Linked DNA regions of Caenorhabditis elegans. The protein of the gene in region 1 purifies or fractionates together with the protein of each later gene. This does not show direct contact. Each region holds a gene or a part of one and is shown on either strand. Other genes may lie near its edges.

What was found. The genes of interacting proteins can lie anywhere in the genome.
Region 2: the proteins of Y23H5B.5 (region 1) and eif-1.A fractionate together in Caenorhabditis elegans (co-fractionation; one large-scale study listed by BioGRID). This does not show direct contact.

What each region holds. Positions count from the first base shown.
Region 1 is NC_003279.8:2,495,743-2,502,184, forward strand, and holds the start of Y23H5B.5 (U3 small nucleolar RNA-associated protein 15 homolog), read left to right. Parts: upstream 1-2,391; 5' UTR 2,392-2,393; coding exon 2,394-2,685; intron 2,686-4,229; coding exon 4,230-4,665; intron 4,666-6,236; coding exon 6,237-6,442. Other genes in the region: ddx-10 (ATP-dependent RNA helicase), read left to right, coding at 926-1,519.
Region 2 is NC_003282.8:4,808,097-4,813,028, forward strand, and holds eif-1.A (Eukaryotic translation initiation factor 4C), read left to right. Parts: upstream 1-2,837; 5' UTR 2,838-2,839; coding exon 2,840-2,939; intron 2,940-2,986; coding exon 2,987-3,271; intron 3,272-3,318; coding exon 3,319-3,584; 3' UTR 3,585-3,887; downstream 3,888-4,932. Other genes in the region: ubxn-6 (UBX domain-containing protein 6), read right to left, coding at 1-372, 855-1,391; H06H21.37 (uncharacterized protein), read right to left, coding at 1,388-1,401, 1,452-1,599, 1,695-1,868; srw-95 (G-protein coupled receptors family 1 profile domain-containing protein), read left to right, coding at 4,033-4,133, 4,181-4,399, 4,561-4,839, 4,887-4,932.

The DNA of each region.
Region 1 (6,442 bases):
ATCTCCCAGCAGCGTCGTATAGAAAAAGAGGCGGAGCGTAATTTCGCAGCCCTGCGGCACGGTTTTTCACCTTTTTTGATTTTTTTTTTTCGATAAATTTTCGTTTTTTCCGAATGAAAATGTTGTCCAATTGAATTCTTATAAGATTTTTTAAAGAATTAAATTGGATAATATTTTCATTTGGAAAAATCGAAATTTTTTTGAAAAAAAAGGAAAAAAAAACCGTGCCACAGTCTTGCAAAATTACGCTCCGCCTCTTTTTCTGTGCGAAGATGTTGGGGAGATTGACCACGCCTATAAAACCGAGCCGAAAATTATAATTTTGCAACCCGCACGTTTCTATGGGTGTGGTCAATCTCCCTAGCAGTGTCACACAGAAAAAGAGGCGGAGCCTAATTTTGCAACCGTGTGACACTGTTTTTTTTCCCGATATAAACCAAGTAAAATCGAAACTTTATTGAGTAAAATCCTCGAAAAAAACCGTGCCGCAGGGCTGCGAAATTACGCTCCGCCTCTTTTTCTATACGACGCTGCTGGGAGATTGGCCACGCCCATAAAACCGTGCGGAAAAAAACCAAAATTTGCTACCCCCGCACGGTTTTGGGCACAAAATTCGAGGCACCACCGATAGGAGAACTGGTGAAAAGAAAACCAAGACCACGCCCATTTTTTCGTGCCGCACGGAAAAATGGGCGTGCGTGGCCACGATTTTTGTTCCCGAAACCGTGCGGAGTATGCAAAATTTGAATTTTCCGCATGGTTTTATGGGCGTGGTCGGGTCTCGTAAATTTTGCAAAAATCAGCAGCGCCGCACAGAAAAAAAGGCGGAGCGTAATTTTGCAACCGTGCGGCGCGGTTTTTCTTATTTTTTTACCTTATTTTTTTCATTTTTTGCAATAAAATTTTCAATTTTAACATTTTGCAGGAAGTAAAAGAAGAAGAAGAAGAAGCTTCCCTAGTTGGAAAATTCGCAATTGATGAGGACGATGAGGATATATTCACAGTGAAAAAGCCTACAGGAGAGCCTGAGCAGATCAAGGAAGAAGAAGCCGCTGAAAAGATCTCAAATATCACCATTTCCAAGACGAAACCGCTCAAAAAAGCAGTGACAAAAGTGTCGGCGGCGAAGAAAATCCTCAACAAAAAGCTTAAAGTTAACACGAAAAAGACATTTGGAGCAGAAGATGATGAGCTCGAAGAGCTCGAAGAAGGCCCCTCAACTATCACCTCCTATGGTTTGGATATTGAAAAAGCCCGGCAGGAGATCAAAAGTGGCGATAAGGAGGATCGGAAAAGGTTCAAGCTGCTCCGCGAGCAACGGAGACAGGAGAAGCTTGCGAAGAAGAATCGGAGAGCTGAGGAGGAAGAAGCTGTGGAGTATGATGAGGATGGAAGTGAGGATGAGCCGGATATCTCGTGGCTCCCGGATCCGGATGCGGTTAGAAGGAAGTATGAGGAGGAGCCGGATGAGGTGGAAGATTTGGAGCAACAGGCTCTTGCGGCTCTTGGGAGGAAATAATTTAAATTTTATTGTTTTTTCGGTTTTTTTAGATTGTTTTTGAGTTGTTACTTGTTATTCATTCTTTTTTTTGAGTTTCTTGAGTTTTTCTTCAGTTTTCCAAAGAAAATGTTGAATTTATTTGATTTTTTCCTCGTTTTTTGTTACTTTTGGTGTTATCATGCACATTTTTATATCTTTTTTAAAATTTTAAAATTGTTCAAAATGTTTCAGGTCAAAAATCAGAAAAAAAAACCATTTTTAAAAATTGAAAAGAAAAATTGCGAAAATTAAGACGCTTTTTTGACTTATGCTTCGAGAAAATTGAATTTAACGCACGAGTAATGTACTTTTTTTTGCGAAATTAAAAGAAAATTCACTTTTGTGGTATCAGAATTTGATTCAAAATTAATTTTAAACCCAAAAATTGGTATTTTTTCGGGCAAAAATCTTAAAATTCAGCAAAAAATAGCGAAATTTAAGCCATTTTTTAAGTTTAAAGTTTACAAAAATTGGTTTTTTTTCAGCATCTATCGAATTAAGACAAAGAAAATTGCAAAATAACAAAATTTCACGTTTTTTTGAAAAAAAGAAACTTCTCGATTTTCACAAATCTCCAATTTTTCTTCTCGAATTTCAATCAAAAATTTGCAAATTGAGAATTTTTAAAGGTTTTTTGAAACCAATTCTGGAAAAAAATTGCCGGAATTGAAAATTTCCGGCAAATTCGGCAGTGTGCCAGATAAGAAAGTTTCTGGCAAATTCGGCAATTTCCCGGAATTCAAAACTTCCGGCAAATTTGATCTTCAAAAGAAACTTTTTTCTTCAATTTTCTCTCAATATTCACAGTTTTTTTCAGAATTTTCCCTCAAAAAAAATTGTTTTTTTTCCAGAAATGGCTCAACCATACCTCCCCGCAGAGAAATTTCTCTCCAGAAAACAAGAGACAATTCTTTTGGACGAAGATGTCATTTATTGGAAACGAATGCAACAACTCACCGTATTCCAGGAGCCAGCCGTCGTCAGCTCCGTCAGAATTTCACCGAAAAAGCCGTATCACGTGGCAACGACTAGCAGTGTCCGTCTAACACTCTACGATACAGTAGTCTGTGAACCATTGAACCTATTTAGTAGATTCAAAAAAGGAGTATGCTCTATTGATTTTAGACATGATGGACGGCTTTTGGGTGAGCAAATTAGCTGGAAAAATGGAGAAAAATCGCGAAAATTCTAGAAAAAGCGTTTTTCAGTGAAAAATTCCAAAAAAAATTTGAGTTCGAAAATTATAAAAATTTTGACATTTTTCAAAAAAAAATTCACAGGGCAAAACCCGAAAAAAAAGACAAATTTGAGATTTTTTAAAACACCGATTCTAGAAAACAATAATTTATATTGCAAATTTTTTTTTTCGACTTCTCACCTTTTTAAACTTTAAATGTCCAAAAAACATTTTTCTTACGAAAAATTTCAGAAAAAATTTTATCATCGATTTTCTAGCGTTTTTCCACTAAAAAATTGAAAAAATCCAAATTTCAATAAAAAATTCCTCTTTAAAAATGCTTAAAATTTGAGGAAAATCCCGATTTTCAATGCAAATTTCAATAATTTTGCTAGTTTTTGAATTAAAAAAATTTATTCACATATAAAAAATCTGGCAAAACCCACAAAAAACCTTTGAAAAATGACAAATTCGGGATTTTTTGAAACCAAATTTTGAGAAAAACTATTTTAGAAAAATTGCAAGAATTGGAAAAAAAATATAATTTTATGAAAAATATTCAGAGAAATATCAAGAAAAAAATTTAATTTACATATTTTTTGACACACAATTTTCAAAAAAGAAGTAAAAACCAACCAAAACGCCACTAATTTTTGATAAAAATTCGGAAATTTTTAGAATCCGATTTAAAAAATATATACTGAAAAAATAAAGTTTTCTCTCAAATTTTCGAAAATATTCGGATCGAAAGCCGACAATTTTTTTACATTTAATTAAATGCCGAAAAAAACGCTTTCTGAGAATGCGTATTGCACAACATATTTTACGCGCAAAATAGGGTCTCGTAGCGAAAACTACAGTAATCCTTTAAAGGAGGACTAACGGTTCGGACGATTTTGAACGTATAGACCCGAAATGAGCTCAAATGAACGAATTTCTTAATGAAATTTCTCAAAAAATTTTCTAAAATTTTTATGGCGGTTCAAAATTTCGAAAAAATTACACTGATTTTAGCTAAAATCTCGAATTTTGCCTATTTTTTGGTGTCACATTTGTCCGAAGTTGACTTTTTCGGAATTATCATCCTTTATTGCATATATTGGTAGTTTATCTCATTTAATTTCGTCGATTAAAGTAAATTTAAAGCCGATAGGTAACCAAAAATCATCAAAATTGGTTACCTATCGGCTTTAAATATACTTTAATCGACGAAATTAAATGAGATAAACTACCAATATATGCAATAAAGGATGATAATTTCAAAAAAAATGAACGAACTTCGGACAGATGTAGCACAGAAAAATGGGCAAAATTGGAGATTTTAGCAAAAATCAGTCAAATTTTTTTCCAATTTTTTGAACCGCCATAAAAAATTTTTGAAAAAATGTTGAGCAGTTTCATTACGAAATTCATTCATTTGAGCTCATTTCGGGCCTATACGTTCAAAATCGTCCGAACCGTTAGTCCCCTCCTTTAATTGGAAAATTTCCAAATATAAATCTAATTTTCCAGCAATCGGAGGTGACGAGGGAAAAGTTCGCATCTTTGACGTGGAAAAAACGACGGGCTCGAGTAAAGTTGCTCTTCGTGTAATGCAAGCTTCTCAGTCAACTGTGAAAAGTGTTCATTTCTCTCCACGTGGTGATACTGTCTTCTCAATGGCCGATGACGGAAAAATCAAGCAATATCGAGTGGCAGACACGGCTTACGGAGTAAATGCCGTTCCAATAATTGAAATTCAAGCACATGAAGATGCGATTAGATGTGGAGCAGTTTCATCAATTAATGATCATATTGTACTGACTGGTGGTTATGATCATAAAGTTCGGCTATGGGATATTAGAAGTAAAGAGAAATCATTGGAACTCGATTGCGAGCATCCTGTTGAATCGGTGCTCTTTTTGCCTGGAGAGCAGCTTATTGCCACTGCTGCAGGTCCTATTGTTAAGTGAGTAGTTGGAAGCTGAAAAAGTGCAAAAATTCAGTGAAAACTTGAGCAAAAATGCTTGAAAACGTCAAAAACACGAGCAAAAAAAATTTTTTTTTGAAGATTTTCCTTCAAAAACTGCCGTTTTCAGGCCATATATGCAAATTTGCCGATTTGCCGGCATTGAACATTTTCGGCAATTTGGCAATTTGTCGGGATTGAAAATTTCTGGTGAATTCAGCAATTTGCCGGAATCGAAAATTTCTGGCAAATTTGGCGATTTGCCGGGATTGAATGTTTCCGGCAATTTGGCGAATTTGTCGGCAAAACGGCAATTGCCAGAATTGTTAAATTTCGGCAAGTTCGACAACTTGCCAGAATTAGAAATTTCCGGCAATTTGGCGAATTTGCCGGAATGGAAAATTTCCTGCAAATTCGAAAATTTGCCTGAATTTTAAAATTTCCGGCAAAAAAATTATTAAAAAATCCGGTAGTGTAACAAATTGCTGGATCGGAAAATTTTCGGCAATTTCGTTCGACAACATGCCGGAATTGAAAGTTTCTGGCAAATTGAGCAAAAAAAATTCCTGCAAATTCGGCAAACCTGCAATTTGCCGGAATTAATATTTTTCGGCAAATCGGTAACTTGCCGGTATTGAAAATTTCCGGCAAATTAGGCAGTTTGCCGGAATTTAAAGTTTCCGACAAATACGGCAACTTGCCGGAATTTAAAAATTTCGGAAACTTTGGCTACCGGCAATTTCCCGGAATGGAAAATTTCCGGCAAATTTGACGAATCGGCAACTTGCCGGAATTAAAAGCTTCTGGCAAATTGAGCAAAAAAATTTCCTGCAAATTCGGCAATCTGCCGGAATTGAAATTTAAAAATTTCCAGCAAAAAAAAATTGAAAAAAATTCGGCAAACTTGGCAATTTGCCGGAAATGAGAACTTCCGGAAAATTCTACAATTTGCCGAAATTTAAAATTTGGGCAAATTCCGCAATTTGCCGGAATGGAAAATTTCTGGCAAGTTCGGCAACTTGCCGGTATTGAAAATTTTCGGCAAATTTGAAAAATTGGCAATTGCCGAGAATTTTCGGCAAAATCAGCAACTTGCCGGAATTTAAAATTTCCGGCAAAAAAAAAGTTTTTAAAAAACCCGGCAAATTCGGAAAACCTGCAGTTTTCCGGAATTGAAAATTTCCGGCAAATCGGCAATTTGCCAGAATTAAAAATTTCCGGCAAGTTCGCCAATTGACCGGAATTGAAATTTAAAAATTTCTGGCAAAAAAAAATCCCAAAAAAAAACCTGGCAAATTCGGCAAACCGGCAATTTGCCGGAAATTAAAAATTCCGGCAAATTCAACAAATTGCCGGAATTGAAAATTCAGCAACTTGCCGGAATCGACAATTTCCGGCAAATTCGGAAAACCGGCAATTTGCCAGAATTGAAAATTGAAAATTTCTGGCAAAAAAAAATTGAAAAAAATTCGGCAAACCAGCAATTTACCGAAAATAAATTTGTTGAAATTCAGCACTAAAATGGAAAAAAAAACCTTTCAAAATCCACAAAAAAAAGCGAATATTTCCAGAATCTGGGACACAACAACGGGCCGCCAACTGACAGCACTTCAAGCTCACTACAAGACAGTAACATCTCTTCGTCTGGCCACCAATTCCACATGCCTCTTGTCTGCCGGAATTGATAGACGTGTGAATGCATTCAGAACAACAAATTATTCATTAATCAACTCATGGTCAATGCCATCACCAGTACTTGATATTGATGTATCACGTG
Region 2 (4,932 bases), on another chromosome or scaffold:
TTCGGCTTTGAGTTCAGCAGTCGACAAATTGTAAAAATCATCTGCCAACTTTGGTGCTTTCGGTTTTTGCCCCTCTTTTAGCTTGAAGATCTCTAGATTTCTAGCAACCTTTATAGGCACAGCCTGCCCATCCTTCAAAGCTTCCAGAGCCTCCACCAAATGAACATCTGATGGTTTTGTGAACACAAGGAACTTGTCTTCTCCTTCAGATTTCTCAGTAAATCCAACAGCTTCAAGGAATGCACGTCCTCCAACTACTGATGCAACTCGTTCTTGGAATGCCTTATTTCCCAAACGAATTGATTTGTATTTATCCTCTCCTGGGTGTTCCAAAATGTTTTGACAATACTTGCAGATTGTTTCGATGGCAGTCTGAAATTTAGAAGATTGTTTGTTTTTCTACCAAAACAACGAATTTCGTACAGTTTAGGTGAAACGACCGATTCGCAGATTTACAAAAATCCGTGTTGATTTTTTCTTTCTGTGCGACGCTGATTTTTGCGAAATTTGCGGATAGATAGTTTAATTTCAACGGTAATGTGACAAAAATGTCACAAAAACTATGATGGCGGTTCAAAATTTTGAGAAAAAAAAAACGGGCAAATTTTAGCGAAACTCTTCAATTTGCCGAAATATTCCGTTAACAAAGTAACTTTTTTAGCCTATTGTTAGCTAAAAATGATCAAATTGGCTAAATAACGAAATAACGTTATTATAACATGTGAGAAACTATTACAATAGATTAAAAAACATTTTCCGACCGCTGCAACACACAAAAGTTGACAAAATTGGAGATTTTAGCCAGAATGAGTTCATTTTTTTTCGATATTTTGAAATTCTGAGCATACACAAACCTCCTTGGGATGTTTCTTATTAAGTGAATAGAGCATCAAAACTGCGGCAATCACTTTATCGTTTTCATCATCCGCCTCGCTGATCTGATCAGAAAGGAAATTTTTGATATCTTCAAGAAGATCTGCTTTCGAGCGAATATGATGCTCACCGAGCAACTCGGAAGTGTAGAGAACACGTGATATTGCGGATGAATGCTCGAGGTGTTGCTCACGGTCGGGTTGCTGCAGTGATGAAGTCCCAGAAATGTTGAGATCTTCAACCTGACGTCTCTCTTCTTCCAGCTCTCGTTTTGCAATCATTTGAATTCTTCGTTTTCCAGCATTTTGTTGAGGTTCATTCTTCTGCATCCGTTTGAAAGCAGCCTGAGCAGCAATATCAGCGGCCGCGACACGATCAATTTGGCCTCCCTGGGCGGCTCCAGCGTGGGCAGAAGGCTGCGAAGATGACTCGCCGGATGACAAACGAACACCTTCACCGCTCTTTTTGAAGTGATTCTGGACTCGCTTTTTGTTGAGGAATTTCTTGAAACTATTCATTCTTCTTTCTCTGAAATAAATTGGAATGGTTATCAGTGCAGAACTTGTTAAATATCTTACTATTTTTTTCGTTGCTCTTATTTCTCGCTTTCTCAATGTTCTCTCTTATGATAAACTCCTGAATGATTGGTGAATATCGATTCCACGCAATGATAGTGCCAACAGAGAAGATGAAAAGTAGAATAGAAAGAAAGAGTCCGAGAGCTACCTGAAATTTTCAAATTTTGGCCATTTTAGACAGAAACAAGAACAATAATTCACGTTAAAATTTCGAAAATCTCAAAAACATGTTCTCTAACGCACTTGTTTTTTATCCAACGAATAATTATCACAGAAGATAATCAAAGCACGATAAACGTTTTCTACTCCGAATGCTTCTGAGGAATCTGGAAGCGCGTCGGAGCTCTGATAAGCAACTGAATTTGTGCTCAACGGAGTCTGCTCAGTTGTCGGCTCGGCGACCAGAGGCTCTCCCATGCAAGAATAGCTGGAATTGTAGTTCTTTTTCAGAGAGATTTGCGGAAATTAATGATTGCGAAATAGGACAGAAGGCGATGACGACATTTGTGATATTGCACGGTGATAAACATATATTTTGGGTTGTATACAAACTTCAAACTTCATTTCAGAAAATTTGAAAAAAAGCTCATCTCGAAAACGCTATAAAAAACTTGGAGTTTTTCTATTGGAGAAAACTAAACTGGGGAAAGCTTTCGGACAGAAAAATATTATCTGCTGTATTTTTCATGATGTCGTTAATTTTGTGACTTAATAAACTACAAAAAAATGTAGGTAAAACACTTTTGCGTGAAAAGTTTGTGATTGTTTTCCCAAAATACGTTTTTGCGGTTAAATGTTCGTTTTGAGATGTTTATCTTACAATTCTTTTATATTTTGGACAATAATTATATTCTATGAAGTAATCTTTGATTCTGAATAACTTTTTTCCGAAAACAATTCGTTAAAACAACAAAATTTTAGAGAGAAAAATAAAAAATAAGCAAAATAAAAAATAAAAATAGCGAGTGTCGTAAATTGTGTCGCCAAGTCCGCAGTTACGTAACCTCGCGCCGCGCTCTTGCGATAGCAAACCCCGCCCACTTTTCTGTGCACTCCACATTTTCGTCGATTTTTCATTGAAATTTTTCTTCTGTTATTTTGTTTATTTTTGTCGATTGACGACATAATTTTAATCTCAAGCGCTGATAAAATTATTATTTCCAATTTTTAGAAATCACTTTTCATCAAAATACTCACGAAATCCAAGCAAACTGTTTATTTTGGGATAGTATACTCATTCTTCTTAATTTTTTGTTAAATTCCATTGAAATCTGACATTACCTTATGCATATTTATGTTCTTGTTTTTTCTACAATTTTTGCAGTCCTCTTTGCTTCTGTATTTCTCGTAACTTCAACTTTCCAAATTATTTCGTAATATTTTCAGCAATGCCGAAGAATAAGGGAAAGGGAGGAAAGAATCGCAGAAGAGGAAAGAATGAGAACGACTTCATGAAGCGCGAGCTCGACCTCAAGGAGGAGGGACAAGGTAGATTTTATAACTTCTTTCCCGAAAAACAAAAGCATTAATTCCAGAATATGGACAAGTCTCAAAAATGCTTGGTAACGGTCGTGTTCAAGTGTTCTGTTTTGATGGAAAGCAGCGTGTCTGCCATATTCGTGGAAAGTTGAGGAAGAAGGTTTGGATCAACGTGGGAGATATCATTCTCGTCGGTCTCCGAGATTATCAAGACGACAAGGGAGATGTTATTCTGAAGTACACCCCAGATGAAGCTCGCCGTTTGAAGAACGAGGGACTTATCCCAGAAAACGCCAAGCTCAATGAGAACGATGAACAAGACGAGGGAGAGGTTGAGTTCTGTAAGTTTATTTTTGCTGAAAATTAATGAAGTTCAATTTTTTTTCAGTGGATCACGTCGGAGACGAGGGAGAGGCCGGAGAAGCAAAGTCTGACTCAGATTCATCAGACAGTGATTCGGAGAAGTCTGACGAAGAGGCAGGATCGGATAAGGAAGAAGAATCGGACGATGATTCTGAAGAGGAATCAGACGAAGATTCAGATGATTCGGACAATATTCGGGAAGAGGACTTGGCAGCTGGTCGTGGATTTAAAGAGGACACTCGTCGCGGCGGAAATCGTGGTGGCAAGAACAAGTACGGAAAGAGACGCTAAATTGATTAAATTATTGGTTTTTAATTGTTTCCCCCGGTTTCTGTTCTTTCTCCCCCTAAAAATCCATTGTTTCTCTTTCGATCCTTTTCAGACATTATCTTCCCATCTTCTCTGTCTCCCGAAATTCCGTTACTTGAATGCTACAAAGTGAAATAATTCGATTGTGGTGTCCGATGATCAACACAACCTCAAGGTTTCGGTCCATCGGACACCACTTGATGAAACAACTCATTTATTGCAAATTATCCCGTATTCCACTATTTTCCTTTCATTTATATTGTTTTCTGATAAACTTTTCTTGTTATGGGTTTAAAGCAGCACACAACTCTCGACCTTCAAACCGAAAAGCAGGTGAAACATTTGCATCAAAATGTCACAACTCGCGGCCACGTGTATTCATATAGTAAAAATTATTTATTTCAGTTATTTTAAGCTGAATTTGAATGAAATGATTGACAGAGTGCTTCTTTATAACTTATCAACTTCTGCATTTCCCAGCTATGATAATGCGACTAGAATTGATTTATATTTCTTTCTTATAGCTGTTGAGCAAGTTTTAGCTTTGAAAATCCCGTAATATTACCGTCAAATTCCAGAAAGTTTGTCCATCCATCAATAATCATTAATATTGTAATTTCATCAATTGGGATTTTTACAACATCATTCCATTTATTCGTTTTATCTCGAAATTCAATGTTAAAATCGTCCGTAATCTTGATAATGATAGGAATCGCTATTTGTGATATATTAGTGATGTTTGTCTCTATTATTTATAACTATCTTTATTTGATTTTGGAATTTAATGTGAAACCCTGGTAAAGTACATTTATTCAAAAGCTTAGTTCCACAGTACTACTACAGTAACCCAACGTAGTAAAAGATCTATGTGGTTAAATCGTAGTTAAAGAGATCACGTAGTAAACAGTACTTGACTTTTGTAACCCGATGTTAAATCAACTCATCTTTCCACTTCCAGTGAACCACCTGCACCACTTTCATTCTTTTATATGTACTGGATCAATGTAGTAATTAATGATTTGTTCCGTCGAACATCCACGTGGCTCAGCGTAGTTATGGCCACAATCAGACTGATCGTCTTGAAGTTTTCAACGAGAAGAGCATTTCGAAAAGTTAATTTTCCCAAATTCGGATTCACTTTAGTTATTGGAACGTTGTTATCAAGCATTCCATTAACTGTAATATATTATTTCCGATACGATATCGTTAAAATTGGAGACTGGAAGCCTATGAATAAGTAATCCAGATTTAACAACCTTTGCCTAATTAAAAATACACTTTCAGTTGCACATTTGCAACGAGTTATCCAGAATCTCGTGTTATCTTCACT